Anolis sagrei: one gene and its partner. The protein of the gene in region 1 purifies or fractionates together with the protein of each later gene. This does not show direct contact. Links are inferred from orthologs where the notes say so. Each region holds a gene or a part of one and is shown on either strand. Other genes may lie near its edges.

The links.
Region 2: the proteins of NMNAT2 (region 1) and FBXO45 purify together in Homo sapiens (co-immunoprecipitation; 3 studies listed by BioGRID and IntAct, with this or other methods). This does not show direct contact. The link is inferred for Anolis sagrei from reciprocal best matches to the Homo sapiens genes NMNAT2 and FBXO45.

What each region holds. Positions count from the first base shown.
Region 1 is NC_090024.1:122,633,622-122,650,058, forward strand, and holds the start of NMNAT2 (nicotinamide/nicotinic acid mononucleotide adenylyltransferase 2), read left to right. Parts: upstream 1-8,768; 5' UTR 8,769-8,920; coding exon 8,921-9,005; intron 9,006-16,437.
Region 2 is NC_090023.1:226,407,614-226,423,985, reverse strand, and holds the start of FBXO45 (F-box/SPRY domain-containing protein 1), read left to right. Parts: upstream 1-9,474; 5' UTR 9,475-9,559; coding exon 9,560-9,940; intron 9,941-15,249; coding exon 15,250-15,606; intron 15,607-16,372. Other genes in the region: SMCO1 (single-pass membrane and coiled-coil domain-containing protein 1), read right to left, coding at 15-399, 1,226-1,375, 2,049-2,170; WDR53 (WD repeat-containing protein 53), read right to left, coding at 5,921-6,493, 7,523-8,002. UniProt on the Homo sapiens protein: Component of E3 ubiquitin ligase complex consisting of FBXO45, MYCBP2 and SKP1. Functions in substrate recognition but also plays an important role in assembly of the complex.

The DNA of each region.
Region 1 (16,437 bases):
TATTTTTTAAGTAAGTTTATTTATTTATTTATTTGATGCACTTATTAACCGCCATTCTCAGCCCTTACGGGCGACTCATGGCGGTGTACAGTACACATAAAAAGACAGTTACAAAGGCCAGTATCAACAACATATAACTATACGACAAATACAAACTACATAAAAATCCGCTTCGTCTCTTAGTAGAATCATAGCCAGTCTCATCTTCCTTATACCATTCCAGTTCTCATTACCGTAATGTTGTTGCTTAGCACTTAATTAAATGCCCTCTCGAACAGCCAGGTCTTAAGGCTTTTTCGAAAGGACATGAGGGAGGGCGCCTGTCTGATGTGTGCTGGGAGAGTGTTCCACAGCCGGGGGGCCACCACCGAGAAGGCCCTCTCCCTCGTCCCCGCCAGCCGTGCCTGTGATGCAGGCGGGATCGAGAGAAGGGCCTCCCCAGACGATCTCAAGGTCCTCGTGGGCTCGTAGGCCAAGATGCGGTCAGAAAGGTATTTTGGGCCGGAACCGTTTAGGGCTTTGTAGGCCAAGACCAGCACCTTGAATTGGGTCCGGTAGCAAATCGGCAGCCAGTGGAGCTGGGACAACAAGGGCGTTGTGTGCTCCCTGCTACCCGCTCCAGTTAGTAACATGGCTGCCGCACGCTGGACCAGCTGAAGCTTCCGGGCCGTCTTCAAGGGCAGCCCCACGTAGAGAGCGTTGCAGTAATCCAGGCGGGATGTGACAAGAGCGTGTACCACCGTGGCCAAGTCAGACTTCCCGAGATACGGGCGCAGCTGGCGCACGAGCCTAAGCTGTGCAAATGCTCCCCTGGTCACCGCTGAAACCTGGGGGTCCAGGCTCAACGATGAGTCCAGGGTCACACCCAAGCTGCGAACCTGCGCCTTCAAGGGGAGTGCGACCCCGTCCAGCACAGGCTGTAACCCTATATCCCGTTCGGCCTTGCGACTGACCAGGAGTACCTCTGTCTTGTCTGGATTTAGTTTCAGTTTGTTCGCCCTCATCCAGACCGTTACAGCGGCCAGGCACCGGTTCAGGACCTCGACAGCCTCCTTAGTAGCAGGTGGGAAGGAGTGACAGAGTTGGACATCATCTGCGTACAGATGACACCGCACCCCGAAACTCCGGATGATCTCACCCAGCGGCTTCATGTAGATGTTAAACAGCATGGGGGACAGTATGGAACCCTGTGGCACCCCACAAGTCAACGGTTGTGGTGCGGAACAGGAGTCCCCCAATAACACCTTCTGGGTGCGGCCCTCCAGAAATGACCGGAGCCACTGCAAAGCAATGCCCCCAAGACCCATTTCCGCAAGGCGCCCCAGAAGGATACCGTGGTCGATGGTATCGAAGGCCGCTGAGAGGTCCAGGAGCACCAACAGGGACACACTCCCCCTGTCTAGCTCCCGGCGCAGATCATCCACTAAGGCGACCAAGACCGTCTCGGTACCATGCCCCGGTCTGAAACCAGACTGTGCCGGATCCAGATAATCCGTGTCTCTCAAGAATACCTGGAGTTGTGAGGCCACCACGCTTTCCATGACTTTGCCCAAAAAGGGGAGATTGGAAACAGGCCGAAAGTTGTCCAATTTAGTGGGGTCCAGTGATGGCTTCTTCAACAGCGGCTTTATAATAGCCTGTTTTAGGCTCGCTGGAATCTTGCCTTCCCGAAGGGAGGCATTCACCACCACTGTTACCCACTCGGCCAATCCCCCTCTGGCCTCTCTCAGAAGCCAGGATGGGCAGGGGTCTAGGATGGACGTGGTGGGCCTCATTCCTCCAAGTATCTTGTCCACATCTTCGGGTTTCACAAACTGAAAAGAATCCAACAAAATAGGACAAGCAGGTGCTCTCGTTACATCCACAGAGTCTGCATCTAACGCGGCGTCCAGCCCAGAACGGATCAAGGCGACTTTGTCTGCGAAGAACCGAGCAAATGCTTCACAGCGCGCGGCCGAATTGTCAGGGCTCCCACCTGCAGAGGCGGGAGTTAAAAGACCTCTGACAATCCGAAACAGCTCCGCCGGACGGTTCTTTGCAGACGCAATAGTGGCCGCAAAGAAAGTTTTCTTTGCGGTCTTTATTGCCGCGGCATATGCCCTAAGAAAGGACACAAACCGTGCTCGGTTTGACTCGCTCGGTTCCGAACGCCACACGCTCTCTAGTTCCCTCTTCCTTCGCTTCATAGCTGCCAGCTCCTCAGTAAACCAAGGGGCTGGTTTAGCTCGGCTACTTGAGAGGGAAGTTCCGGAGCAATCATGTCAATAGCCCTGGTCATCTCCCCATTCCAGAGAGCCACCAAGGCTTCGACATGGTCACCTACCGAGGTGGCGGGAAAATCCCCAAGAGCCATCAGGAAGCCATTCGGATCCATCAGTCTCCTGGGGCGGACCATCTTAATGGATCCTCCACCTTTGCAGAGGTTAGGGGGCGCAGTGAGCCTAAATCTGATCAGGAAGTGGTCGGTCCATGGCAACGGAGAGATGGACAACTCCTCCACACCGCCACCCTGTTCCCATCCCTGGCAGAAAACCAAATCCAATGTGTGTCCAGCACAGTGGGTGGGGCCAGATATTTGTTGGGACAGCCCCATGGTTGCCATGGCAGACATGAAGTCCTGAGCCGCGCCTGTGAGGGTCGTCTCGGCATGGACGTTGAAGTCTCCCAGCACAAGAAGCCGTTGAGACTTCAATGCCAGGCTCGAGACCACCCCCGCTAGCTCAGGTAGGGAGACTGTAGTGCAGCGAGGTGGACGGTACACTACTAGAATCCCTATACTGTCCCGGTCACCCACCCTCAGGTAGACGCTTTCGAAATTTGCGGTCTGCGGGATGGGGCACCTGGTCAGATGGATGGAATCCCTATAGACCACTGCGACCCCGCCTCCCCGCCCTCCGGATCTAGGTTGGTGCTGCACGGAGAAACCCGGAGGACAAAGCTGGGTCAGATTTACTCCTCCAGCTTCATCCAACCAGGTCTCCGTGATGGTCCATTTTGTTGTAAATACTAGTAGTTCGTGTGCATACCTCAACGAGCATGTGCGTCGTGTACCGGCATGCCTCGGGAACAACTGTGCTCAGGTCGCCCTTCTTTGATTACAGATGATTTGGTGGCTTCAGTTGAAGCGAGGATTCGTGAGAACAGGCGCTTCACAATAACAGGTCGCTGAAAACGAATTTCCTTACGTGTCGAGATCAGTGCTTTACAACACTGTTTCTGAACACCAAAAGTTTAGGAAACTGTGCTCCTGTTGGGTCCCAAAACTCCTAACAGAGGACCACAAAAACCAAAGATTTGAGTGTGCGATCAAATCAAATAGTCTGAAATCAAAGAAGGGCAACCGGAGCGGTCCTCATCATGGACGTTGTCACGGCCATCATTGAATTGTCGTACCCACTTACGCACTTTGCTTTCACTCAGAACAGTATCACCGTACACTTCACAAATCTGTCGATGAATTTCTGCAGCAGGCAGGTTCCTTGCTGACAAAAACCGTATCACTGAGCGAACCTCACATGCGGAGGGTGAGTTGATAGTCTTAAATATTTTTCAAGCACAGAACAGAACCGTAGAGGTTAGCTACAGAGCAGAAACTGAGCACAGTTTTTCCCGAGGCATGCCGGTACACGACGCATGCACTCGTTGCGGTATGCGCCCGAACTACTAATGTCTACAATAAAACAGACCATACTTTAAAAATACCCCTCGTAGCAGCCCTGCCCTGAAAAGCTTATGGTTGAAAGAAATGGGAAGAATCAGGGACAGTCAGGGATGTTTTTCCATTTGACCATAGATTCCTAGAATCCTAGATCATAGAGTTGGAAGAGACCTCATGGGCCATCCAGTCCAACCCCCCTGCCAAGAAACAGGAATACTGTATTCAAAGCACCCCTGACAGATGGCCATCTAGGCTCTGTTTAAAAGCTTCCAAAGGAGGAGCCTCCACCACACTCTGGGGCAGAGAGTTCCACTGCTGAACGGCTCTCACAGTCAGGAAATTCTTCCTAATGTTGAGATGGAATCTCCTTTCTTGTAGTTTGAAGACATTGTTCCGCGTCCTAGTCTCCAGGGCAGCAGAAAACAAGCTTGCTCCCTCCTCCCTGTGACTTCCTCTCACATATTTATACATGGCTATCATATCTCCTCTCAGCCTTCTCTTCTTCAGGCTAGACATGCCCAGCTCTTTAAGCCGCTCCTCATAGGGCTTGTTCTCCAGACCCCTGATCATTTTAGTCGCCCTCCTCTGGACACTTTCCAACCTAATTAAGATAATTTTACCATCTAAATTCAAAAATCCCCAAATGCTGGAAATAATAATAATAATAAAAAACAACCATAAATTTGAAAGCTATCACAAGATTGGAAACTGCCACGAATGAGAAAATGACAGATTTTTCAATGGAGAACTAGTGGAAATGTGTATGGGATCTTTGGTTGATGGAAAAACCTCTGGGCACCATAAAAAAAAAACAGCAGTGGGTTAAAACATGGTTCTGTTTGCGGAAGCAGCTTCCCCTTATGGGCTATGTTAATACACACTTGCAAAAGCATTCACCTCCTTCACAGCATAAGCCAATGTTAGAATTTAGGTTGGTTTGGTTTAATAGTGCCAATAGAAATTTCAGGGAATAGCTGTGTTTCCCCAGGTCTTCAGGTTGGGAGGGAAATATAAAGATGAGCAATGGGTTAATGGAGAAGGAGGAGAGAGTGTGATTTCCATGTCTAAAGTGGCTTTAAAGCTTAGGAACCCATCTCCATCCATTCCCAGCATAAGCCCTGGGAAAACCTGTCATGTATGATGTATGCTGTAGGAGAAGCCATAAGAGGGAAGAGCAGCAAAAAGTGTAATTGCTGGGTACCTTCGGCTGCCTCCATGGCAAGTTTTTCTGTCCCCTGATTTGAGTTGCCACATTTTGGCCAGGTTTTAGCGGTATTCTGGTTCCTTTGTGCTTGTTTCCATAAACAGGTGGATCAAAAGTGTTTCCTGCTTTCCACCCAACAATTAGAATCATCTATATAAATAAAAATGTAATGTTCATTTGTGGGATTAACAGAACTCAAAAACCACTGGAGGAATTGACACCAATTTTGGACACAAGACACCTAACAACCCAATGTATGTCCTTCACTCAAAAAAATTGATTTCATCATTTGAGAGTTGTAGTTGCTGGGATTTAGAGTTCACCTACAATCAAAGAGCATTCTGAACTCCACCAACGATGGAATTGAACCAAACTTGGCACACAGTACTCCCATGACCAACAGACAACACTAGAAGGGTTTGGTGAGCATTGACCTTGAGTTTGGGAGTTGTAGTTCACCTTCATCCAGAGATCACTGTGGACTCAAACAATGATGGATCTGGACCAAACTTGGCACAAGTACTCAATACGCCCAAATATGAACACAGATGGAGTTTGGGGAAAACAAACCTTGACATTTGTGAGCTGTAGTCACTGGGATTTATAGTTCACCTACAATCAAAGAGCATTCTGAACCTCACCAACAACAGAATTGGGGCAAACGTCCCACACAGAACCCCCATGACCAACAGAAAATAAGGCCATCCATCTGCAGGAGTCTACCGTGTACCATGCAGCTGTGGACAAGTCTACATAGGGACCACCAAACGCAGCGCCCAGACACGAATCAAGGAACATGAATGGCACTGCAGACTACTTCAACCAGAGAAGTCAGCCATAGCAGAGCACCTGATGAACCAACCTGGACACAGCATATTATTTGAGAACACAGAAGTGCTGGACCACTTGCACAACCACCATGTCAGACTACACAGAGAAGCCATTGAAATCCACAAGCATGTGGACAATTTCAACAGAAAGGAAGAAACCATGAAAATGAACAAAATCTGGCTACCAGTATTAAAAAAACTCAAAAATTACAGCAGCAAAACAACAGAGGGGAAACAAACAGGCACATCAAACCACTCTCAACAAAAGATTCCCCCCAGGCGCTACCAAGCCATTGAATGCAAATCAAGGTGATCAGCTGAAACATTCACAGCTAGCCCCAGCAAACAAATGTCCTTTGTCCCACCCTGGTCATTCCACAGATATATAAACCAATTTTTCCTACTTCCAACAGACCTCACTACCTCTGAGGATGCTTGCCATTGATGCAGGCGAAACGTCAGGAGAAAAATTGCCTCCAGAACATGGCCATATAGCCCGGAAAAACCTACAACAACCGAAAGCCATCCAGTCCAACTCCCTTGTGTCTTGTGTCCAAATTTGGTGTCAATTCCCCCAGTGGTTTTTGAGTTCTGATGGTAGCACGAACTAACATTACATTTTTATTTATATAGAAGATAGATGGGTGTTTCTTTCTTGCTATAGATAGGGATACAGACAGGGTTGGGGTTGCCATCTCTGCTGTACCTTTGTATCTGTGTTTATATATTTCTATAGTTGGGGATATAGAGAGAGATGGGGTGGATCCCAGGATGCAGGCAGGTGTAGCTCTGCTGGGACATCCTTCTGTACCCATCCTTGGTCAGCTGAGATTGCTATTTATTTATTTATTTATTTATTTATCGTGTCAGTGCAACCAGTCGATTATATTACATTTCTAACAGAACAAAGCAAAAAGAACAGACAAAATACAGAATTGTGAGTTTGGTAGTTGATTAAATGTCCTTTGACCAGTATCTGGCCACTTGGAGTGCTTCTGGTGTTGCTGCAAGAAGGTCCTCCATTGTGCATGTGGCAGGGCTCAGGGTGCATTGCAGCAGGTGGTCAGTGGTTTGTTCTTCTCCACACTCACATGCCGAGGATTCCACTTTGTTCCTGAAGGTTGGCTCTGCATCTCGTGGTGCCAGAGCGCAGTCTGTTCAGCGCCTTCCAAGTCGCCCAGTCTTCTGTGTGGCCAGTGGGGAGTCTCTCCTTTGGTATCAGCCATTGCTTGAGGTTCTGGGTTTGAGCCTGCCACTTTTGGACTCTTGCTTGCTGAGGCGTTCCAGCGAGTGTCTCTGTAGATCTTAGAAAACTATGTCTGGATTTAAGTCGTTGACGTGCTGGCTGATACCCAAACAGGTGATGAGCTGGAGATGTCATTGCCTTGGTCCTTTCACTATTGGCTGCCACTTCCCGGCGGATGTCAGGTGGTGCAATACCGGCTAAGCAGTGTAATTTCTCCAGTGGTGTAGGGCGCAGACACCCCGTGATAATGCGGCATGTCTCATTAAGAGCCACATCCACTGTTTTAGTGTGGTGAGATGTGTTCCACACTGGGCATACATACTCAGCAGCAGAATAGCACAGCGCAAGGGCAGATGTCTTCACTGTGTCTGGTTGTGTTCCCCAGGTTGTGCCAGTCAGCTTTCGTATGATATTGTTTCTAGCACCCACTTTTTGCTTGATGTTTGGGCAGTGCTTCTTCTAGGTGAGAGCACGGTCCAGAGTGACTCCCAGGTACTTGGGTGTGTTGCAATGCTCCAGTGGGATTCCTTCCCAGGTAATCCTCAGAGCTCGGGGTGCTTGTCTGTTCTTGAGATGAAAGGCACATGTCTGTGTTTTAGATGGTTTGGGGATTGCTGAGATTGCTGAAGCCTTGAGAAGAGGCGGGTAAGTAATGATGATGATGCCCACCCGGAGTCCCTGTTAGTGAGCAACCCAGAGGGTGCTCACCAATGCTTCCTCTTCATCTTGGAAAGAAGTGACGAGTGGAGTGCCGCAGGGTTCCGTCCTGGGCCCGGTCCTGTTCAACATCTTTATTAATGACTTAGATGACGGACTAGAAGGCATGATCATCAAGTTTGCAGACGACACCAAATTGGGAGGGATAGCTAATACTCCAGAGGACAGCAGCAGGATTCAAAATGATCTTAACAGATTAGAGAGATGAGCCAAAACTAACAAAATGAAGTTCAATGGGGACAAATGCAAGATACTCCACTTTGGCAGGAAAAACGAAATGCAAAGATACAGAATGGGGGACAATGCCTGGCTCGAGAGCAGTACGTGTGAAAAAATCTTGGAGTCCTCGTGGACAACAAGTTAAACATGAGCCAACAATGTGATGTGGTGGCAAAAAAAGCCAATGGGATTTTGGCGTGCATCAATAGGAGTCTAGTGACTAGATCCAGGGAAGTCATGCTACCGCTCTATTCTGCTCTGGTTAGACCACACCTGGAATATTGTGTCCAATTCTGGGCATCACAATTCAAGAGAGATATTGACAAGCTGGAATGTGTCCAGAGGAGGGCGACTAAAATGATCAAGGGTCTGGAGAACAAGCCCTATGAGGAGCGGCTTAAGGAGCTGGGCATGTTTAGCCTGAAGAAGAGAAGGCTGAGAGGAGATATGATAGCCATGTATAAATATGTGAGAGGAAGTCACAGGGAGGAGGGAGCAAGCTTGTTTTCTGCTTCCTTGGAGACTAGGACGTGGAACAATGGCTTCAAACTACAAGAGAGGAGATTCCATCTGAACATGAGGAAGAACTTCCTGACTGTGAGAGCCGTTCAGCAGTGGAACTCTCTGCCCCGGAGTGTGGTGGAGGCTCCTTCTTTGGAAGCTTTTAAGCAGAGGCTGGATGGCCATCTGTCAGGGGTGATTTGAATGCAATATTCCTGCTTCTTGGCAGAATGGGGTTGGATTGGATGGCCCATGAGGTCTCTTCCAACTCTTTGATTCTATGATTCTATGAATATAACCCTCCCCTCTGTTTTTCCCTTCCTGGCAATGAAGGCGTTAAAGAGGGGGGGGGGGGTGTTAGGGAGCCAGTGACGTCATTGGCGTCCTCGCCCCCTCCCTCCCTCTCTCCCTCCCTCTTTCTGCAGGCGCACCGAGAAACACACACAAAAAGAAGCAAGGCGCGCCGGAGAGCTTCCCAGAAAGCGCTCCGACAAAGACCCCCCCCCCCAAACCTATCGACACCCGCCTTTTCAGGGAAAGGAGCCATGACAGAGACCACCAAGACCCACGTCATCCTGCTGGCCTGCGGCAGCTTCAACCCAGTCACCAAGGGCCACATCCAGATGTTTGGTGAGTCCACCGCCCATAAGGATGGAAGGAGAGGAAAGGATGGGAAAGAAAGGATCGGAAAGGCCAAGGGATAGAAGAGAGGAGTGATTGATGGGGGCGTGGGGGGGGGGGGAGAGGAGAGGCCTGGATCGCTGCAGCAGGGAGGAAGGGTTTGGCGCGGAGCCATCGCGGGACAAGGAAAAGGGCAGAGAGAACCTCAAGAGGGAGGGGTGCTTGTGATGTTTCAGGCGGGGAGGGCTACCTTGGAGGAGGAAGAGGGATGAAAATGGCAGCAGAAGGAAGCTGCAGCAGAAGGGATGCCAGCCTGTGTAGTGGAGGGCATCTGGAAGAGGGTGGCAGCCTTCCCCTTGGGGAGAGGTTGGCCCATTGGCTACTGGAATCAGGAATGGCTTGCTTGGGCAATGGAGAGGCCCACCTTCATTATTACTGTACTAGCCATCCCCTGCCATGCGTTGCTGTGGTTATGGGGGTTCTGTGTGGGAGGTTTGGCCCAATTCTATCATTGGTGGAGTTCAGAATGCTCTGTGATTGTAAGTGAACTATAAATACCAGCAACTACAACTCCCAAATGTCAAGATTCTATTTTCCCCAAACTCCACCAGTGTTCTCATTTGGGCATATTGAGTATTCGTGTAGAGTTTGGTCCAGATCCATCAGTGTTTGAGTCCACAATGCTCAATTCTATCATTGGTGGGGTTCAGAATGCTCTTTGACTGTAGGTGAACTACAAATCCCAGCAACTACAACTCCCAAATGCCAAGATTCTATTTTCCCCAAACTGCACCAGTGTTCACATTTGGGCACATTGAGTATTCGTGTAGAGTTTGGTCCAGATCCATCAGTGTTTGAGTCCACAGTGCTCAATTCTATCATTGGTGGGGTTCAGAATGCTCTGTGATTGTACGTGAACTATAAATCCCAGCAACTACAACTCCCAAATGCCAAGATTCTATTTTCCCCAAACTCCACCAGTGTTCTCATTTGGGCATATTGAGTATTCGTGTAGAGTTTGGTCCAGATCCATCAGTATTTGAGTCCACAGTGCTCAATTCTATCATTGGTGGGGTTCAGAATGCTCTTTGACTGTAGGTGAACTACAAATCCCAGCAACTACAACTCCCAAATGCCAAGATTCTATTTTCCCCAAACTCCACCAGTGTTCACATTTGGACATATTGAGTATTTGTGTAGAGTTTGGTCCAGATCCATCAGTGTTTGAGTCCACAGTGGTCTCTGGATGTAGGGGAACTACAACTCCAAAACCAAAGGACACTGCCCATCAAACACCTCCAGTATTTTCTGTTGGTCAAGGGAGAACTGTGTGCAAGTTTGGTTCAATTCTATCCTTGGTGGGCTTCAGAATGCTCTTTGACTGTAGGTGAACTACAAATCCCAGCAACTACAACTCCCAAATGCCAAGATTCTATTTTCCCCAAACTCCACCAGTGTTCACATTTGGACATATTGAGTATTTGTGTAGAGTTTGGTCCAGATCCATCAGTATTTGAGTCCACAGTGCTCAATTCTATCATTGGTGGGGTTCAGAATGCTCTTTGACTGTAGGTGAACTACAAATCCCAGCAACTACAACTCCCAAATGCCAAGATTCTATTTTCCCCAAACTCCACCAGTGTTCACATTTGGACATATTGAGTATTTGTGTAGAGTTTGGTCCAGATCCATCAGTGTTTGAGTCCACAGTGATCTTTGGATGTAGGAAAACGACAACTCCAAAACCAAAGGACAGTGCCCACCAAACCCTTTCAGTATTTTCTGTTGGTCATGGGAGAACTGTGTGCAAGTTTGGTTCAATTCTATCATTGATGGGGTTCAAAATGCTTTTTAATTGTAGGTGAACTATAATTCCCAGCAACTACAACTCCCAAATGGAAAAAGCAATTTTTTTGAGTGAAGGGCATACATTTGGTTGTTAGGTGTCTTGTGTCCAAGTGGTTTTTGAGTTCTGTTAATATCACAAACGAACATTACATTTTTATTTATATAGATTGTCAAAGGCTTTCCTGGTCATTCCACAGACATATAAACCATTTTTCCTAGTTCCAACAGACCTCACTACCTCTGAGGATGCTTGCCATAGATGCAGGTGAAACGTCAGGAGGGAATGCCTTAAGACCATGGCCATATAGCCCAAAAAACCTACAACAAAGAATTATTTATTTATTTATTTATTTATCATGTCAGGAGCAACCAGACAGTTGTATTACATTTTTAACAAAACAAACAAACAAACAAACAAACAAACAAACAGACAAAACACAAAGTTTGCAAGCTTGGTAGTTGATTAAATGTCCTTTGACCAGTAGCTGACCACTTGGAGTGTCTCTGGTGTTACTATAAGAAAATGCGTGCAGCAGGGCTCAGGTTGCATTGCAGCAGGTGGTCAGTGGTTTGCTCTTCTCCACACTCGCATGTCGTGGATTCCACTTTGTAGCCCCATTTCTTAAGGTTGGTTCTGCATCTCGTGGTGCCAGAGCGCAGTCTGTTCAGCGCCTTCCAAGTCGCCCAGTCCTCTGTGTGCCCAGGAGGGAGTCTCTCATTTGGTATCAGCCATTGATTGAGGTTCTGGGTTTGAGCCTGCCACTTTTGGACTCTCGCTTGCTGAGGTGTTCCAGCGAGTGTCTCTGTAGATCTTAGAAAACTATTTCTTGATTTAAGTTGTCAACGTGTTGGCGGATACCCAAACAAGGGATGAGCTGGAGATGTCACTGCCTTGGTCCTTTCACTATTGGCTGCTACTTCCCAGTGGATGTCAGGTGGTGCTAGACAGTATAATTTTTTAGAGGAGGTGGTTGTACTGATTAGGATGTGTCTTACAATCATTGGCATCTTACAATTGAAAATATATATGGTAGTAACATCGTGATTCTACTAATAACTACCTGTGCACATGTATCTTTGGCGTCTGTAGGAAATGATCGTCCTGATGGCTGTTTGCATGCTTTCACTTGGCAGGAAGTGTTAGCGTGTTTGCTGTCCACAGCTGTAGGTGCTGAAATGGCTTTGTGGTTGACAATAGGAAATGAGTAGTCTCCTTCACTTCACAGCCTGTTTGTTGCTACAATTCATTTGCCTTTGTAACTTTTCTACTGTGCAGTTGTGGCAGATGCTTAAGTTAAGCATCTCATTCATTGAGAAATCCATGAGACAAAAATAGGAAAGACAAATTTTAAAAAAAGGAAATAAGAGGAAGGGGACCCAATTGCGTGACTACAAAAACAACAGAGACAGCAAAGATTCCTAGGGGAGAATGTCTTGCTGCTCTCCTTTATTTTCACTTTCTAAATACAGCCCAGCTGCTTGGAAAAACAATCCTGTTGGTAGGATTCCTTTGGTATCTTTGAACACAGCCAGAGACGAAATTCTGCACCCGTTTGCTAGATGGAGAAAGGCACAGAATGATAAATAATGCACAAGTTTTGCATGTTAAAAATTGATTTATGTTTGCTCCTGAGGGCCAGTCCGCATCTTTCCTTACAATAAAAGGCCTGGACATGTGTCTTCAGTCCTGGAAACAGCCTCTATTTCTCAAGGACTGTCTGCCAACAATAGCTTCAAACTACAAGAAAGGAGATTCCATCTGAACATTAGGAAGAACTTACTGACTGTGAGAGCTGTTCAGCAGTGGAACTCTCTGCCCTGGAGTGTGGTGGAGGCTCCTTCTTTGGAAGCTTTTAAACAGAGGCTGGATGGCCATCTGTTGGGAGTGCTTTGAATGCAATTTTCCTGCTTCTTGGCAGGGGGTTGGATTGGAACTTGTTTTCTTCTGCTCTGGAGACTAGGACACGGAACAATGGCTTCAAACTACAAGAAACTACAAGAAAGGAAATTCCATCTGAACATTAGGAAGAACTTCCTGACTGTGAGAGCTGTTCAGCAGTGGAACTCTCTGCCCTGGAGTGTGGTAGAGGCTCCTTCTTTGGAAGCTCTTAAACAGAGGCTGGATGGTCCTCTGTTGGGGGTGCTTTGAATGCAATTTTCCTGCTTCTTGGCAGGGGGTTGGAGGGATGGCCCATGAGGTCTCTTCCAACCCTATGATTCTATGATTCTATGATGCTACAGGACTGACTCAGATCTGGGGTTTTCTCTACTGCCTAGATCCCCAAAGTAAGTCCCGCAGGCTGGATGCGGACCTCCAATATTATTTACTAAACCCATGTCTTAAACATTAGGGTTGCACTAAGTCTGGAAAAACCTGAAGGCACACAACAACAACAATCCCAATTAACAACAAAAATTCCACAATCCCAACAAAAATTCCACAAACGCCAAAAGCAACAGCCGAAACCAGAACTGGATACATCACGGACCATCATCAACCTGACAGACAGACAACTCTCTGAAGACCAAGTATCCATACTAGCGAAAGGAGGAAACTTTGCTTTAACCGCCACCAGGATCCCAGTAGAAAACATCATTGTCAATGTTGAATCAGCAATTTATCGCCTCCCCGAGGAGGAAGCAGAAGAAGTACGAGCAGAAACAGCAAGGATCCTGAAAAAGGCAAAACTTCCCTCCAGTAACATCACTAGGAAGGAAAGACAAGCCATCAGAGAACTGAATTCAGATCCTGATACCCTCATTATGCCAGCAGACAAGGGGAATGCCACAGTAATCATGCATACAGAACAATACAAGGAGAAGATCAGAAAACTCCTGGACCCTACTATATACAAAAAACTGAAGCAAGACCCAACTGCCAAAATAACCAGGAAAACCAACACTCTGATTAAGAACTCCTCAATAAACTTTGACATATGACAACAGCTATGTAAATTGGAAGCCCATCCACCCAGGACTCCCAAAAATCCATAAGGACTCCACACCACTCAGACCCATCGTGAGTGCCATTGGATCCCCCACATAAGACCTAGCAAAATTTCTTGCTGCACAGTTACAAAGCCATATTGAGCTCACTACACACTACATCAAGGACTCAGCCCACTTCATAGAAAAAATCAGCAATCTCAAGCTAAATACCAACGACAAACTGATCAGCTTCGATGTGGTATCTCTATTTACCATGGTCCCGGTAGCAGACACCATGGCACTCATCAACCAGAGGTTCCCAGAAGACATCACAGCTCTGTTTCACCATTGCCTCACCACCAGTTACTTTCAGTGGGACAATGAATTCTACGAACAGAAAGATGGAGTAGCTATGGGGAGCCCTCTCAGCCCGGTCATAGCTAACTTCTACATGGAACACTTTGAAGAACAAGCCCTGGAGACAGCAACCAAAAAGCCCACGATATGGTTCAGATATATGGATGACACCTTCACCATTTGGAGCCATGGAGAAGAAGAACTCAACAGGTTCCTGGACCATCTTAACAGCATCCACCCAAAAATCCAGTTCACCATGGAAAAAGAAAATGAAGGAAGATGTCCTAGTCATCCGCAAACCAGGTCAACAATTGGGTCACACCGTCTACAGAAAACCCCCACACACAGATAGATATCTAGATAAAAACTCCAACCATCACCCAAGTCAAAAAAGAAGCACCATTAAAGCCTTGGCAGACCGTGCAAAAAGAATCTGCGAACCCCACCTCCTCCAAGATGAACTGAACCACCTCAACTGGGCTCTCCAGGCCAATGGAGACTCCACCTCAGACATCAAGACCAAGAACAAACCACGAGAGTAAAGATGAAGATCCACCCAGAGTAAAAGTGTTCCTGCCATACATCAAGGGAACCACTGACCGCATAGGGAAGCTGATGAGGAAACACAACATACAAACAATCTACAAACCCACCAAGAAAATCCAACAAATGCTACGTTCAGCAAAGGACAAGAGGGATCCTCTCACCTCTGCAGGAGTCTACCGTATACCATGCAGCTGTGGACAAGTCTACATAGGGACCACCAAACGCAGCATTGCCCAAACACAAATCAAGGAACATGAAAGGCACTGCAGACTACTTCAACCAGAGAAGTCAGCCATAGCAGAGCACCTGATGAGCCAGCCTGGACACAGCATATTATATGAGAACACAGAAATGCTGGACCACACCAACAACCACCATGTCAGACTACACAGAGAAGCCATTGAAATCCACAAGCATGTGGACAATTTCATCAGAAAGGAAGAGACCATGAAAATGAACAAAATCTGGCTACCAGTATTAAAAAACTCTAAAATTACAACAGCAAAACAACAGAGAGGAAACAACCAGGCACAGATTAACACCTCCCAGCAAGAGATTTTCCCAGGCTCAGGCAGGCCTTCAAATGCTAATGAAGGTGATCAGCTGAAACATTCACACCTAACTGCAGCAGGGAAGAGCTCCTTGCCCCACCCCAGCCATTCCACAGATATATAAACCCATTGTCCTAATTCCAACAGACCTCACTACCTCTGAGGATGCTTGCCATAGATGCAGGCGAAACGTCAGGAGAAATGCCTCTAGAACATGGCTCTATAGCCCGAAAAAACCCACAAGAACCTAATCCCAATTAACTTGACAAGCCATGTATAAATATGTGAGAGGAGGTCATGCTGCCCTGGAGACTAGGACGCAGAACAATGGCTTCAAACTACAGGGAAGGAAATTCTACTTGAACATTAGGAAGAACTTCCTGACAGTGAGGGCCGTTCAGCAGTGGAACAAGTCTACATAGGGACCACCAAACGCAGCATTGCCCAAACACAAATCAAGGAACATGAAAGGCACTGCAGACTACTTCAGCCAGAGAAGTCAGCCATAGCAGAGCACCTGATGAACCAACCTGGACACAGCAAATTATTTGAGAACACAGAAATGCTGGACCACTCTCACAACCACCATGTCAGACTATACAGAGAAGCCATTGAAATCCACAAGCATGTGGACAATTTCAACAGAAAGGAGGAAACCATGAAAATGAACAAAATCTGGCTACCAGTATAAAAAAACTCTTAAAAATACAACAGCAAAACAACAGAGGGAAAACAATCAGGGACATCTAATCACCTCTCAACAAAAGATTGCCCCAGGCACTACCAGGCCATCAAATGCTAATCAAGGTGGTCAGTTGAAACATTCACACCTAGCTCAAGCAGACAAGAGTTCTTTGCCCCACCCTGGTCATTCCACAGATATATAAACCCATTTTCCTAGTTCCAACAAACCTCACTACCTCTGAGGATGCTTGCCATAGATGCAGGCAAAATGTCAGGAGAGAATGCCTCTAGAACATGGCCATATAGCCTGAAAAAACCTACAACAATCTCTTTTGAATTGGGGGAGGAGGCAGCTATTCAGAAAACAAAGATACTCTTAATTTCATAATGAGTATCATATTTATTTATTTCTCATTCCTTGCCTAAACATCTCATTATACTTTGTTTTCTTTTCCCCTTTCTGATTTTGTTGCTTCTATTATAATCAGAACAGTGGTTGAAGAGTGCCCCCCAGATGTTGTTGGACT
Region 2 (16,372 bases), on another chromosome or scaffold:
TGTGGGTAACATCTTCAGTCTTTGCTATTTTCCACCACTTGAACAGCACACAACAAGCTGCGTTGAAGGAGCTGGTTCTTGACCACACTGTTGATCATGGAGCAGATATCTTTGGTATAACCTTCCCTTTGTCTTGCAGGATAGTAGCAGACATCATGACTATGTGTAATGAAAAATACACAGAGAGCTTTCACTTCTCCTTCGTGCAGTCCCAGCTTCTCAAGCGCTGTCTCCAATGCCAGCCTAATTCTTGGGTTTTTCCCTTTTCGCCTCAGAATAGATGACAGAGTAGGAAGCCCTCTTGCCAGATCCGGTAGTCTCCTTACTACGTGAGAATGTAAACAACGAATAGTTTCACAGATGTAGCTGTAGAAAAGGTTTACCTCCACAGATGTGAATCTGTCAAAACAACAATATTGAAAAGTTGCCTACTTCCCAAGCTCAAGAATTATTCCAGTTCAAGAAAGAGTACGGTTGCATCTATGTTGTAGAATTAATGTAGTTTGACGCCACTTTAGCTGCCATGGCTCAATGCTATGGAATCCTGGGAGTTGTAGTTTTACAAAGTTTTTAGCCTTCCCTGACAAAGAATGCTGGGGCCTCATCAAACTACAAATTCCAGGATTCTGTTGAGCAATGGAAGACAAAGCAGTGTCAAACTGCATTCATTTCACTGTGTAAATTCATTGTATGTTGGATTGCTTATAGTTCAATTCTATCCATGTCTATTCAGAAGTAAGTCCCAATAAGTTCAATTAAACTTATTCCCAGAGAATTGTGTCCAGCAGCTTGCTTTATAGCCTAAAACGTGAACTCAAATTGTGTAAAAGACATTCTGGTATATCTAAGGAATTTAACACAAGCCTGTGATTTTACATTTCTGTTTGGTAAAAAGAAGGTGAGACTGAATGACTCACAGGTTATTGTTTAGAAAACTAAGCACAGAGAGAATGTAAAGAGGCACAGAGATGGCAGCTCTTGGCCCTAAAAAGATATGTAAAAGCACACATGAGAGGAACTGTGATGGTCTATTGGAGTCCTGTTATTATTATTATTATTATTATTATTATTATTATTATTATTATTTCCTGTTTTCCTCCCCAAAGGAGACTGATAATTGCAAAAACATGGAATGATAAAAGCAAAATTCAATTGGAAGAATGGTATACAGAGGTTTGGAACATAATGATTAAAGACAAATCCTGGCTCTCACCAAGTTTCTCACCTGTCTTCCAGCAGAGATGTCCACATTTCATCCTGGTCAATCTGATGGTCCAAGTCGGTACACCAAAGTCCAAACTTCTCTGATAACTTTTGAATACTAGAATCTAGTACACTGAATTGAGCCTCTACAGTTTGGAGTTTGCTCTCCACTCTGTTAAAATTTTAAAACCAGGAGTAGTTATAATATATGCTTCAATGCAGCTCAGCAACATCTGGAAGCCACAATCCCCATCTTACACAATGCAACAGTTGTGACTAGTTTACAATACTAGTGTGGCCCAACTGGATTTGATACGAAGAGAACCAGGTTGAGGCTCATCCTTAATCACAGGCTAGCCTATAATTTCTGCCTCAACATTTGTCCTCCACTGATAATAAAAATACAGTCACCTAACACTGCAAAATTTGACTGCTTAACTTGTAAACGTATTTACCCAGAAATCTGTTGGTGGACATATGAAAACATATGAGGATCACTTACATAGGATAATCTCTCCCCACCCATGCCCGAAAAATTATACCTAAGGAAAAGGAATAAATAAATAAAATATTGTAATCTTGGAAATATCAACTCTATACAATTAATGCAATATGTTCATTTAATTATCCATATATAGAAAGAAAACATTGCCCAAGAACTACTTATATTAATAATTGACAAAAATTAAAAATTAGTTTATATGTCATATGCTGCTTTACAGTTAATGTAAGCTGGACAGAATATTAATATTCTTAAATAAATATCTAACATCTAAGATAAAGTCAACTCTTTCCCACAGTCCTTCCCCAACAAAGCAGGTCCTTCTGCATTTCCCCCTTTTGACCTGTTTAATGTCTTGTTCAGAGCACACAGAGATATAGTTTCTTTAGTCATCTTCAGGGAGAGGAAAAGGTGAATCTGAATGCCGGTTGGCTGGTTGATCTTTTTCCAGCAGGCAGTGGCCATACACACAGAAGGTACAACATGAATTGAAGGTCAATTTTCACTTCAAGCTTTTTATAGACAGGACATCCAAGTATAGCATATTAACACGTGCCTACAAGCACATTATTTACTAGAATGTAATTGGTCAGCTGCGACAGGTTTCTGTTGCAACATCTGAAATAAATATGATTTTCTTTCATGCAAAAGTACACGATGGTTTGAATTATATTAAAGTTCCAACTAATTAAATGGGATTTGCATAAATGTTAAACTCATGCTTCAACAGGTCTATTCTATTTGGGACTACAGTGGAGTCTCGCTTATCCAATGTAAACGGACTGGCAGAACGTTGGATAAGCGAAAATGTTGGATCATAAGGAGAGATTAAGGAAAAGCCTATTAAACTTCAATTTATGTTATGATTTTACAAACTAAGCACCAAAACATCATGTTTTACAACAAACCAAGAGAAAAAGCAGTTCAATACACAGTAACGTTATGTAGTAATTACTGTATTTATGAATTTAGCACCAAAACATCACAATATATTGAAACAGCTGTGGATCTGAGCGGGAAGCAGACTGTGTTGCATAATATAGAACATTGTATGAGTGAAGAATGGATAAGCGAGACTCTATTGTATTACTGTATTAGGTTTCAATCAGACAAATATCTGTCAGGATCAAACTGTATTGAACTTGGTTGAGACTTACTTCTAAAATGTATTTAACATTGTGCTGTAACCTTTAGCTAGTGTTTGATTAAGGTACCAGTACATTAGATTAATATTAAGGTGCTTGTGGCAGGTTCAATAGATTAGTGGTTCTCAAACTATCTGATGTAGGGCCCAGCAATTATGGTATTTTTTCCCAGTGTTCCAGAGACTGGCACTACTTTTTTGTCCCGTTCTGTCCCCCCCCCCCCCCCCCCCCAGTAAAGTTAAATTAAACATTTACAGTACAACACATTCTGAGCCACGTTCTAAAATGTTTCGATAGATTAATTGATGAGAGCTAGAACACTGGAATATGATACAAAGTGTCATATTTGCTAATAGTGCTTGTTCATTATTTGCAAGTTTGTACAAGTCATAGTTTCTTGTTGCTCAATTGCTGCCACTGCATATTTTTGAAAAAATTGTTTAAACTGCTTGTTTTGGATGGAATCCTAGATTTCCAAACAGGAGCCCACCAATGCTGCAGTGTTAAATACACTTCTGAGCTCACTTTACTGCCAGACTCCATTGTGAACCTTAAAGGGTTAACAAAATCCCAATTGAGAGTATTGCCTCCTGTACAGCACAGGACTTCATTTTAAGTTTGCAATATACCAGTTGTTATTTGCTCTGAAATACTGACTACCATTAGCTACTGCCCTCCAAACCCCACCTGGAAATGTATTTTAAACTGTAGTTAGCAGTTAGAGTGAGCATAAATCCTTCAAAAGTTGACTTTGCTATTTTGGGTATCATGAGTAGCATATTTATTTATTTTTCAAGTTCCAATATATACCTTCTCTTTGCTATTCTGTCAAAACAATAAATCCCGAAACTTTTTGTATTATACAAAATAGACTTTAGTGTCAAGTGTTTTTAGGTATGTTTGCAAACTTCCTTGGATCTCAAATAAAGTCTCATCAATTGGTTACTTTAATTTCCTAAATTTCCTTTAATTTATATACAAAGAAGGGCATATGTGGATCAAGAGTTTTTTCCATAGTTGATTCCTTCTAACTGAGGTCGGGGTTGGCCCCTCCCTGCTCTCTTTTCAGTGGCAGGTGAAAACATTATTATTCAGGCAGGCATTTGAACAGTAAATTTTAATTGTAGTTTGTATATGGAATTGGTGCGCTGTTTCAATGCTTTAATCCAGTGGTTCCCAACCTGTGGTCCGTGGACCACCAGTGGTCCATAAGAATAAAAATATGGTCTGTGGTACTATTACTACACCGTTGCCTCAAAACCACACGGCAACGAGAGCAACTGGTCTTGAAAAGCCCTCTTATAGTGCCAAGGCAATGGGAATGTCGGGAAAGGAGATGCTGACTACCCACAAAATATCACTACTACATCAGCTCTAGATTATTAAATATGGTTTTCTGTGGACGAGCAGATGGCGACTACTGGATGGCATATGCTCTGTATCAGAAACTAGAGCTGATGTGGTCTATCCAATGCCATTTTCTGAATCAGCACCCCAAATAACCAAACCAAATCTAAAGTTGACCAAAAACGGATTCGTAACCCTGTTGGTACTAATGTTGGAGACTGGTCCCTGGTCAAAAAAAGGTTGGGAAACACTGCTTTAATCCTTTGTACTTATTAGTATTATGCCTTAAAATATTTTTAAAATGTTTTAATTGTAAGGATCATGTTAAGAATATTAATTATTTAATTTATTCATAATTTTTGTAATTTGATGTTTTAATGTTATTCCTTTTAAATTGTTGTTAGCTGTATTGGATCTTACTTTGCTAGAAAGGCAGACTATACATTCAATAAGCAAAATGGATAAATAGAATAACAAAACAGTTGCTTGCTTGAAAGATCAGTATTCTTATGGACAAAATCTTGAAAGTGCAGCACTCTGAGCATAAAACATTCATTTATTTTCAAAATGTGGAGTAAAATTATAGTTTAAGCTTCAACTACTGTATTTACTCCAATTTAATGCTCACCTTTTTGGCAAATTGACCTTGGCAACATTGGGGGTGCTCATTAGTAATTTTAGTGCTGAGCAAAAGCAAAAGGGGAAGCTTCAGGAGCTGTATCTGGAGCTCCCCTTTGAGGAACACCATCTCTAATTAAATGGCCAGGGCTCAATGCTATGTAATCCTGGGATTTATAGTTTGGTAAAGCACCAGCATTATTGGGCAGTGAAGGCTCAAAACGTCAAACTACAGTCCCAAGGATTCTATGGCATTGAACCAAGGCAGTTAAAGTGGATTCATTTTACAGCATAGATGCACTCCAAGGTTTTCTTTTCCATTGCTGGAAGCTTTGGTGTTCCAGCACAATTGTTTACAATGAAGGAATTCTCAACAGGCAGAAACCATAATGCGTATCTTTTTTGGCCAAATTACAAAGAGTACACTTTAGGCTACTGTGCATTACATTGAGCAGTAAATACATTTTTTAGTTTCAGGGTTTTGACAGTTTTGACGGTGCATAAAACTCAAGCAAATATGGGTATCTAATAAGTAAATAGTTGTTTCAACAGCACCAAGTGAAATTTAATGCAAATCTCCTTAGAGAAGTCATCAATTCTAACCAAACAAATAGTGTTTGAAGAAGCCAAGTCTATGAATAGATAAAATTATTTAGGAACTTAGAATAGTTTTATTTCCAGTACACATTGAGGAAACAATCTACACGTGGATGCAATCTGTATAAGTTTTGTTCAAGCTCTGGACATTAGAAAGGCAGATAGTATCTAAGTAAAATAGAATTATTTCTGTGGAAGTCAGCCACTTTAGGCATAGGTATATGAAAAGTTTTCAGGCTTACAACGGGTGCAAAGATGTGCAGGCTTTGTCTTCTTTTTTATCAAGGCAAAGATATTTACATATATTTATAACCAAAAGTTTGTACTGCCAGTTCGTCAGTACAATCATACCAGGTTTAACCCAAGGAATCCCATTACCGATAGAATGAATTGGGTTTATCAACTATTTTAAATTATTTATTTGAGGTAATAAAGATGGTGCTTCCAAAAAAAGTCCTAAACAGGTAATCCCTGTATACCAAGGAGTCAGTTATCTAGTTAGATATGTTTAAGACTCAGTAATAGGATAGACAGATATACTGCTAGACTGATCGGCAACCAATACTCTCCTAGAACCTTTAATCTCTGTGAATGAAATCCAGTTCACTTTCTCTCCATGCTCAATGGTTAGTTTGGGTGAAAAGCCCACAGAGCCACTTGTAAGCTCTGTGTCTGATTTATCAACTGTCTTGGTATTTGACATCTTAGTCTTCCTTCTGGGGATGGACTTGACTGGACTCTTCAGCTTTCTTACTTCATTGCTGATGTCCCACAATAAAACTTTGCCGTCATTTCCTCCTGTAATGAACTGGTAGGATTCTGGTAAAAAGTAAACCTGTGACACTCCTAAGGAGTGGCCCTTAAATGCCATCTCCTGTTCAAACTTAGAACCAACTACCCGGAAGATTCTGATTTTTCCATCTTCAGCTCCACAACCAAAAATATTGCCACAAATAGACACTGATAGAGAATGGACCAGGGGTGGGTTAAAGAGCTGGCCAGCCGACTGCTCATCTGCTGCCTCTTCTTGCAAGTTCACAACCCACAGTGGGCGAGCTTTCTGCAAGTTCCACATCATGACCTTCAAACAAAATAAATCCAGAATTATTTTATAGTGTAAAGAATAAACTATAAACTTGAGTGTAAGCCGACCCGAATATAAGCTGAGGCACCTAATTTTACCACAAAAAAACGTGGGGAAATGTATTGACTTGAGTATAAGCTGAGAGTGGGAAATAGTAAATTTCAAAATAAAAATAGATACCAATAAAATTATATTAATTGAGGCATCAGAACATTAAATGTTTTGAATATTAACATAAAACTGTAATTTAAGATAAGACTATCCAACTCTGATTAAACCATTATTCTAACCTTTTAAAATGTAAATGTGTTTATGTATTCTTGCAATAATAAAGAGAGTAAAATAATAAATGTAATAATAATGATAGGCTATAATAACAAATGTAATAATAATAGAGTAGAGTAAAATAATGTAAATATAGTAATAATAGAGAATATTTTTCTCTATTATTATTATTACATTTACATTATTTTACTCTACTCTATTCTATTATATAATAATAATAACAACAGTAAAATAATAAATAACTTTGACAAATTTAAGCTGAGGGGGGCTTTTACAGTCTAAAAAAGAGCTGAAAATTTCAGCTTATACTTGAGTATATACGGAATACATTAGAGAAATGTCACCTTTGTGAAACTGTATGTACAAATTTTAAGGTTTCCCTTGTGATGTCCTGTTTCCTGAATAACCATCTAAGATACATCTCAAAAGGGTTACTTCTCTCTACACTATAAACCAAGAGGAGAAAAGTACGGGTTATCTAGTAACCAGTTTTCTGAGAATTATTCATTTTTCCATGACTTGCTTGTTTTAGCTTGATTGACACTCACGTTGCCAATTTACAGATAATGCTTTCTTTCTTGAGAATGGAATGTTTGGAAGGTCTGTTATATCTACTGGCATATGCGACTCTCTCAAACATATTAACATAATACATTGGAAAATAAAAATATATTGAATACCTTTCTGTTCACATTTAGCCAGTATACAACATACATTAAACTTTCATATATTGCTAATCACCTTCATATCCATGCCACATGAAAGAAGGCTTTGAGGCCTCTGAGGTCGAAACACTGCAGATGAACAAATATTTGAATGTCTTCTCAGGCATCGACTTAACTTCTTGCTTTCCAAGTCAATTATCTTTATTGCTCCAGAATCATCTGCAGCAGCTAAGAAACTGTCTGTTTCATTTACTGAGAGACAATTGATCTCTTCCTCATTTACATGGAAATGTTCTACTGGTTCCTTGAGACATCTGGTATCCAAGACGCTAACAGTCTCCCCATGAGATGCATACAGTCTCTTTGGAAAGGTGGGAGAAAACACTACGCTGGTGATGTCATCTGTTTTATGGAGCTGTGCATGTTCTAATGGTCTCCCTTCCTCATTCCAGATTGTAAGTTCCCCTCCTTCTGCTCCGGATGCCAAGAGGCCATCTTTGCTCACATTCAAACATAGTATTGAAGAAGAGTGTCCACTGCTCCACTTCTCTGCCATAGTATTTTAAGATACTGAAAACAAAACAGACATTGGTTAGCAACATAATGGTTATGCCTATCTGTTGGAGTAAGGCAGTATGAAAGAGTGGATAAATTATATTCATCCCAAGATACTAGCTACTCCAAGAGATAACACCTAGTGATTACAAACACAAAAACTTAAACACTAACTATACTGCCATAATGAACATCACATGGGCCAACAAATTAAATGGTGGCACATATAAGAACAGGAAAGGCATGTTGTTTACATCTTCCCTAAGTATTTAAAGCCAATTTAATTTTATAAGAAAATGTTACTCCACTATGAGTCAAAACAGATATTGTGGGATTTTCTGCCTTGATATTCTAGAATATAGGAATGTGTAGAAGGTCACCAGAAAGAGAACTTACTACTGAGATAATTTGAAGAAAAATCTAAAGTTCTACTGAGTTCTGCAAGTGCTGCTTCTACATTCTTAGAGATGAAGCATTAATGGTGCTTTGAGAAGGCCAAAATAAAAGACTATTAATCACCAACAAGAAATAAATGGGTTACGGCTGAAAAGAGCAACTGATACGAATTGATGGCATAGAAGTTTTGAAATCCTTGATGACACTTGGGTCCCTTCTACACTGCCATATAATCCAGACTATCAAAGCAAATACTTCACATTACCTGCTTTGAACTGGATTATATGAGTCTCCACTGCCATACAATTCAGGGCCCTTCCACACAGCCCAGAATATCAAGACAGAAAATCCCACAATATCTGCTTTGAACTGGGTTATCTGAGTCCACACAGCCCTATATTCCAGAATATCAAGGCAGGAAATCCCACATTATCTGAGTGTGGACTCAGATAACCCAGTTCAAAGCAGATATTGAGGGATTTTCTCCCTTCATATTCTGGGATATAGGGCTGTGGAAGGGCCCTGGGTTATCCGAGTCCACATTGCCATATTTTCCAGTTCAAAGCAGATAATGTGGGATTTTATACAGCTGTGTGGAAGGGGCGAGAGCTCAAATAATGGAGGGAGGCCAGACGCGCTTAAAGAGACAAGCATTTACCTCCAGTCAAACAACACCTTTCTAAAAAAAAACCAACACAGCAAACCTTTCTCTTCCTCTGACAGAAGGCACACTAACCTTCTCTTCCGGCGAGGAGAAATGACGTCACCCTATTATGACTCTCTTCCCAACACTGACAGGTGCGAGTCCTGCGCATACAATAAGAGCCGGCGATAACATTTACCCTTACTTAATATGGCTGCCTCAGCTTCAAGGCCTAGATCATTCGAATATTGATAACGGAAGTAAGTCTCAGCTGAGTCGCTTTGGCGGGAGAAAGAGGGAATTACAATTACTCCCGCTGCTGCTCTCAATCTGTGCCTCTCAAGTAGAGGGTCCATCTCCTGAAGCCGCTTTAAAGGGCGAAACTTCACACTTCCGCCCTTCGTTGTTGGCTTCGAGGGGGAAGAGGTGCAGCAACGGGCCTCTTCCTCCCAGCTGAGGGCAGGAGCGGATTGGTCCGTTGTTTGGCGGCTCTGCTCGGGGCGGCCGCCGGCTGTAGGGATGGCGGCGGCGGCGGCGGCTGGAGGAGGAGGAGGAGGAGGGAGCGGCGGCAGCGGGCCGAGTTCGGCGCCGGTGACCGCGGCTTCTGCGCCTGCTGCTCCTTCTTCCGCCGCTGGCTCCGCGGCCCCGGCTGCTGCTGCTGCTGGTGGTGGTGGTCCTGCGGGGCCCGGCTGGCGTCTGCCCGGGCGCGTGCTGGAGCTGGTCTTCTCGTACCTGGAGCTGCGCGAGCTGCGGAGCTGCGCCCTGGTCTGCAAGCTCTGGCACCGCGTCCTCCACGGAGACGAGAACAGCGAGGTCTGGCGGAGCTTGGCCGCCCGGAGCCTGGCCGAGGAGGCGCTCCGCACAGACGTCCTCTGCAATGTGCCCAGCTACAAGGGCAAGGTCAGGCCCAGGGAGGAAGGGAGGGAGGAAGGGAAAGAAAGAAGGGGAAGAGGGAGATGGGAGAGGGAGGGAAAGGAAAGGGAAGGAGGGAGGGAAGGAAGAATAGAAAGAAGGAAAGGAAGGAAGGGAAAGAGGGAGATGGGAGAAGGAGGGAAAGGAAAGGAAAGAAGGTAAGGAACTAATGAGGGGGGAAGGAAGGAAGGAGGGAAGGAAGGGAGAATAGAAATAAGGAAGAAGAAAAGGAAGGGAGGGAAGGAGGATGGGGGAGGGAAAGGAAGGAAGGAAAGAAGAAGAAGGGAAGAAACTGATGAGAGGGAAAGGAAGGAAGGAGGGAAGGAAGGAAGAATAGAAAGAAGGAAGAAGAAAAGGAAGGGAGGGAAGGAGGATGGGAGAAGGAGGGAAAGGAAAGAAAGAAGAAGAGAAGGAACTAATGAGGGAGGGAGGGAGGAAGAATAGAAAGAAGAAAAGGAAGGAAGGGAAAGAAGATGGGAGAGGGAGGGAAAGGAAGGAAAGAAGAAGGGAAGGAACTAATGAGGGTGAAGGGAAGGGAAGGAAGGAGGAAAGGAAAGAAAAGGGGGAGGAGAGAAGGAAGGTAGAAAGGAAGAATGGAAAGAAGGAAGAAGGGAAAGAAGGAAGGGAGGGAAAGAGGGAGATGGGAGAGAGAGGGAAAGAAAGGAAGGAAGGGAGGGAAGGAACTAAGACAGGGAAAAGAAGGGAAGAAAGGAAGGGAGGAGAGAAGGAAGGGAAAGGGAAGGCAGGACAGAGGGAAGGAAGAATGGAAAGAAGGAAGGACGGAAGGGAGGGAATGAGGGAGATGGGAGAGAGAGAGAAAGGAAAGGAAGGAAGGAAAGAAGAAGGGAAGGAACTAAGGCAGGGGGAAGGAAGGAGGAAAGTAAAGAAAGAGGGAAGGATGTAAGGAAGGAAGAATGGTAGGAGGAAAGGAACTAAGGAGGGGGGAAATAAGGGAAGGAAGGAGGTGAGAAGGGAAAGGAAGAAGGGAAGGAAGGACAAAAGGAAGGGAAAGAAGGAAAGAAAGAAGAAGGATATAGGAGGGGAAGAAGGAGGGAAGGGAAGGAACTAAGAAGAGCGAAAGGAGGGAAAGGAAGGAAGGAAAGAAAGAAGGAGAGGATCTAAGGAGGGAGAAAGGAAGGAAGGATAAAAGGAAGGAGAGATGGAAAGATGGATGGAAGGAGGAGAGAATGGAAAGAAAGAAGGAAGAAGGGAAGGAAGGAAGGATAAAAGGAAGGGAGATGGGAAGGCGGGAGGGAGGGAAGAAGGGAATGAAGGAAGGAAAGTAGAGGGGAGAAGGGGGAGGGAGGGAAAGGAAAGGAAGGGTTAAGAAGGAGGGAAGGGAAGAAGGAAGGAACCCCAGTTGCATCAACACTTGGGATTGAATGAATGGGCACCGCTTGAACTGTCATGGCTCAGTGGTATTTGGGAGTTGTAGTTTTACAAGGTCTATAGCATCCTCTGTCAAAAAGTGCTGGTGCCTCACCAAACTACAAATCCCAAGGGTGCCATTTCACCGGAGAACAAATGCAGTTTGACACCATTTGAACTGCTGTGACTCAGTACTAGTCAGGAGTTGTTGCTTCATGAGTTCTTTAGCCTTCTCTGCCAAAGAGAGCTGGTGCCTCTCCAGACTACAACTCTTATTGCTCCATAGCATTGAGCCATGGTGGGTCAAGAGCTGCAAGATTCCACTAATTTTACAATGTAGAATGAAATCCTGGGAGTTGTAGTTTGGTGAGGTGCCAGCTCTTCTTTGACAGAGGAGACTAGAGCCCTTGTAAAACTACAACACGGGATTCTATGGGATTGAGTTGTGGCAGTTCAAGTGGGGTGAAACTGGCATAATGATATATACAGCACAGATGCATCTAAAGTCTTTTTTTTAGAAGAACTGTTCAGTTAATTGTGTCCTATTGATTTTAATTGATTTATTCTAAGCAGTTATTGTTTGTAGCTTGGCGTGTTCACATAGCTAAGACAGGTTAAATAGATGCATCCTTAGGCAGAAAAAAATTGAAATGTACAGATCCAGCAAAAGATAAGATCAGCTTCGAGGAAGGAAGGGATGAGCTTGCTCCCTCTCTAGTGGTGTGATCTAGTGATTGACTAGAAATAATTCTAAATACCTCATAAAAGTAGTGGAGCCACTAGAAAGTTGAAATGGAAAGAAGTGTGTCTAACTCGGCTATAACCCAAATTGCTCTTAGGATAGAGCTCCAATTCAGAACGAATGCAGTTTGAAATCACTTTAACTGCCAGGACTCAATGTTTTGGAATCCCAGGAGTTGTAGTTTGGTGAGGCACCAGCACTCTTTGGCAGAGAAGACTTAAGATCTTGTAAAACTACAGATCCCATGGTGCCATGGCAGTTACAGTGGTGGACTATTGGTTTGCTTTCAGGCAGTCCCAAAACATAGAAATAATATTTGGGGTTTGTTCTGTGACTTCTCAATGAAGTGCAGCTTATCTTTCGCCCTTGCTGACCTGCCTACTTGTCGGTAGTGTGGAAACACCCCTTAAACACAGGTTCTGTAGATGTGGCACCTCCGCCCAGCTGTTGGCTGTGGGCCAAGAGCCTTTATGTGTATGATTTGGGAGGCTAAGTTTAAGCAGGTACAGGCTGAGGATCCCTTCTCCAAAATGTATGGAATCAGTTGCATTTGGATTTAAAAATTGTCTTTTTTTGAAGGGTTTTTGGAGTACCAGTATTTGCATATGCAGGCAATCCCCAAGTTACAAACAAGATAGATTGTGTAGGATTGTTCTTAAGTTGAATTTGTTTGTAAGTCAGAGCAGGTACATTTTTAGTGTAACTCCAGCCATATCTATCTATCTGTTTATCCTTTAGCTTTGGATAGCATAGGGAGGTGTTTGTTTTGCTCTCTGTGCTGCTGTTCAGAAGATGCCACCATACTTTCTGTCCCTGCAATAATTGGATTTTGAAAAAAATTAGCTTGTTGTGGAAACAAGGATTGGTGATACAGCTTCAGTGGAGACACCTTTCCCCCGTGATAACCCTTTCCAGACTGAATTTCCCTTCCAAGGGGTTGATTTCTTTTACTTCCTGTGTCTCACCCCTGTTTGTAACTATGAGTTGTTTGTAAGTTAGATGTTTGAAACTCGTGGACTGCCTGTATATACATAATGGTATATCTCGGAGCTGAAGTCCAAATCTAAACACAAAATTCATTTCTACTTCATATACTACAACATCATATCACCAGTGTTAATTTTATACACAATATTTTTCAACAATTTTGTGCATGAAACAATGTTTGTATACACTGAACCATCAGAAAGCAAAGGTGTGACTATCACAGCCACCCATTTGGACAATTTTGGGGTATTTTTTATTTCTGAACAGCTGCAAAATGGAGTGGAAGGAAGACAGGGCTCCTTCATCAGCTCTAAGGTTCCTTCCACACAGCCATGTAACCCAGAATATCAAGGCAGATAATCCACAATATCTGCTTTGAACTGGGTTATCTGAGTCCACACTGCCATGTTACCCAGTTTAAAGCAGATGATATGGGATTTTATACAGCTGTGTGGAAGGGACCTAAGAGGCCAGCTTCCTTTGACTCCTCACCATGTTGTTTCCATTTTACCTGGAAGAATTTTACATTATGAATCAGTGCCTCCCTATTTTTCCCTTTTCTCACTTTGTATGCAGGCTTTTAGATTATAAGACTGGGTACGAAGACTGTTGTCCTTTTAAAAAACACGATTGCCTCTTTGGGCTGAAGAGTACAGTATAGTCCTTTGGAATAAATGAAATATACAATAACAATTGTTTGCAAAATCATTTTTGAAACGGCATTTACCTGAAAATATCTCCTTCCCAAAAAGCTTGAGAAAGACCTCTTTTTAAAATTAAAATTGGCTTCTTCTGGACAGGTTCTTCTTTTCTTTCTTTTTTGTGTCAGGAGTGACTTGAGAAACTGCAAGTTGCTTCTGGTGTGAGAGAATTGGCTGTCTGCAAGGATGTTGCCCAGGGGACGCCCAGATGTTTTGATGTTTTACCATTCTTGTGGGAGGCTTCTCTCATGTCCCGGCATGGGAAGCTGGAGCTGATAGAGGGAGCTCATCCGCACTCTCCCGGATTTGAACCTGCGACCTATCGGTCTTCAGTCCTGCCAGCACAGGGGTTTAACCCACTGCGCCACCGGAGGCTCCATTATTTTCTTTCTGAAAGGGCTTGATATTTGGCAGAACTCTGTCTCAGAGGTACTGATACAGTTCTGCCAATGGTGAAGTCTGTGGTTGTGCATATCTGTTACTTTCCTCTGGTATTCTTTCACATGTTGGCTTGTCATAAAGTAAAACACATTTCTGAATTTCCCTCATTCAGATTTTTTTATACGTAGACCTGGTGTTGATGGGTTTTCAGTTATTGTTTTCTCTTAATTAACTTGCCATCTTACATGTACTTCAAATTATGTGATACTTAAAATACGCTTTTGGGCAGGCTGTTTATAACCCTCGGTTTGTTTAGCTAGTATGTAATTTGATACCAAATGAGCTGTCGCTTTTAGGGAGAAATATAATATTTTTCCTAATGTCTTCTTTGTGGTTGTGGTGGTAAATTATTAATCCCCTATCTTCATGTTCTGTATCAATTTGAAGTCTTCGAAATGCAAACTTTTATTTTCTCCCCCTTTATCTTCATTGTGCTTTGAATCTTTTGCCTTTAGGTCTTAGTTCAAATTGTAGTGCTAAGATTGAGAGAGAGAGAGAGAGGAGAGGAGAAAGATGTCATCCAATAGACTGGAAAGTAAACAGAGCTAGTGTTTATTCCTTTAATAGTAGTATTATTTATGGGGACCCCCAGTGGCACAATGGGTTAAACCGCTGAGCTGCTGAACTTGCTGATTGAAAGGTTGCCGGTTCGGAGCAGGGTGAGCTCCCACTGTTAGCCCCAGCTTCTGCCAACCTAGCAGTTCAAAAACACGCATATGTGATATTGCTTTGGGGGGAAGGTAATGGCGCTCCATGCATTCAAGCCGGCCACATGACCTTAGAGGTATCTACAGACAACGCCAGCTCTTCGGCTTAGAAATGGAGATGAGCACCAGCTCCCAGAGTTTGACATGACTGGACTTAATGTCAGGGGAAAACCTTTACCTTTACCTATTACTATTTATTCCATTAAATATCAATGTAAATGAGGAAATAATGATACTATCTATGAAGAGAATAAATGTAAACATCAGTATCATTTCCAGGCTTTGCATAGTTAGACAATCTTATCTCAAATTCTTTACCTTTTTTTCAATATCCCTCTTCCCCAATATTAGGTACGTGCCTTTCAGCATGCTTTCAGCACCAATGATTGTTCTAGGAATGTCTACATTAAGAAGAATGGGTTTACTTTGCATCGGAATCCCATTGCCCAAAGTACAGATGGAGCCAGAACAAAGATCGGCTTCAGCGAAGGCCGCCATGCCTGGGAAGTCTGGTGGGAAGGTCCTCTCGGCACCGTAGCAGTAATTGGAATTGCAACAAAGCGGGCTCCCATGCAGTGCCAAGGTTATGTGGCCCTCCTGGGCAGCGACGACCAGAGCTGGGGCTGGAATTTGGTGGACAATAACTTGTTGCATAACGGTGAAGTAAACGGCAGCTTTCCCCAATGCAACAATGCCCCAAAATATCAGGTGAGTGAGTTTTGCTATTTCCAAATGTTTACTGGAGTTGTGAACACTTCTGTCTTTGATCATTCCTGCCTAGCTGGTTATGATGACTTCAATCCAATTGTTCGTCTAATTGAAGTTGGCTCACTGAACCAACAAAATTTACATACAGTATTTACTTAACAGTTCAGTTATTGTTTCATTGGGTCTAGTCTATCCAAGACTACAAATTGGATGCAGACCAGTATGTTTTATTTAGGATTTAGCAATATGCAAGTTTACTTATGTTTTGTTTATTTTATGCTTATGTATTATTTATTTTATGTGCATCACCCTGGAGTGCTTATGTGAGCCTCCCAAATCCCTTCAGGGAGATTGTGGTGGGGTATAAATTAAAGTTGTTTATTATTACTATTACTATTATTATTATTTGAGAACATCCCTCAGAGATCGGTGGGGCATACTCCTAGGTAATGTGTGTAAGATTGAAATCCAACTGATGTTAAAGTTAGTGCCATTATTTTCCCAGGTTGGCACTGCACTTCCTTGAATATTTCTATTCACCCTGCCCTTGTTCCCCCACCTAATCCCTTTCTAGATTGGGTTCCTGAGCTTCAGGCTGACCCCTTAGAATTGGCCTGTGGGTTTGTTATGGTAGGCCTGACCTGACTTTATATCAGACTTGATAGAGATAGCAAGAAACAGTTTTAAAAGCAGAATAGCAAATTGAAGTTTCTTCAAACACAGGATGACAACACATTAAACAGAATATTTTATTTTTTGAAGCCTC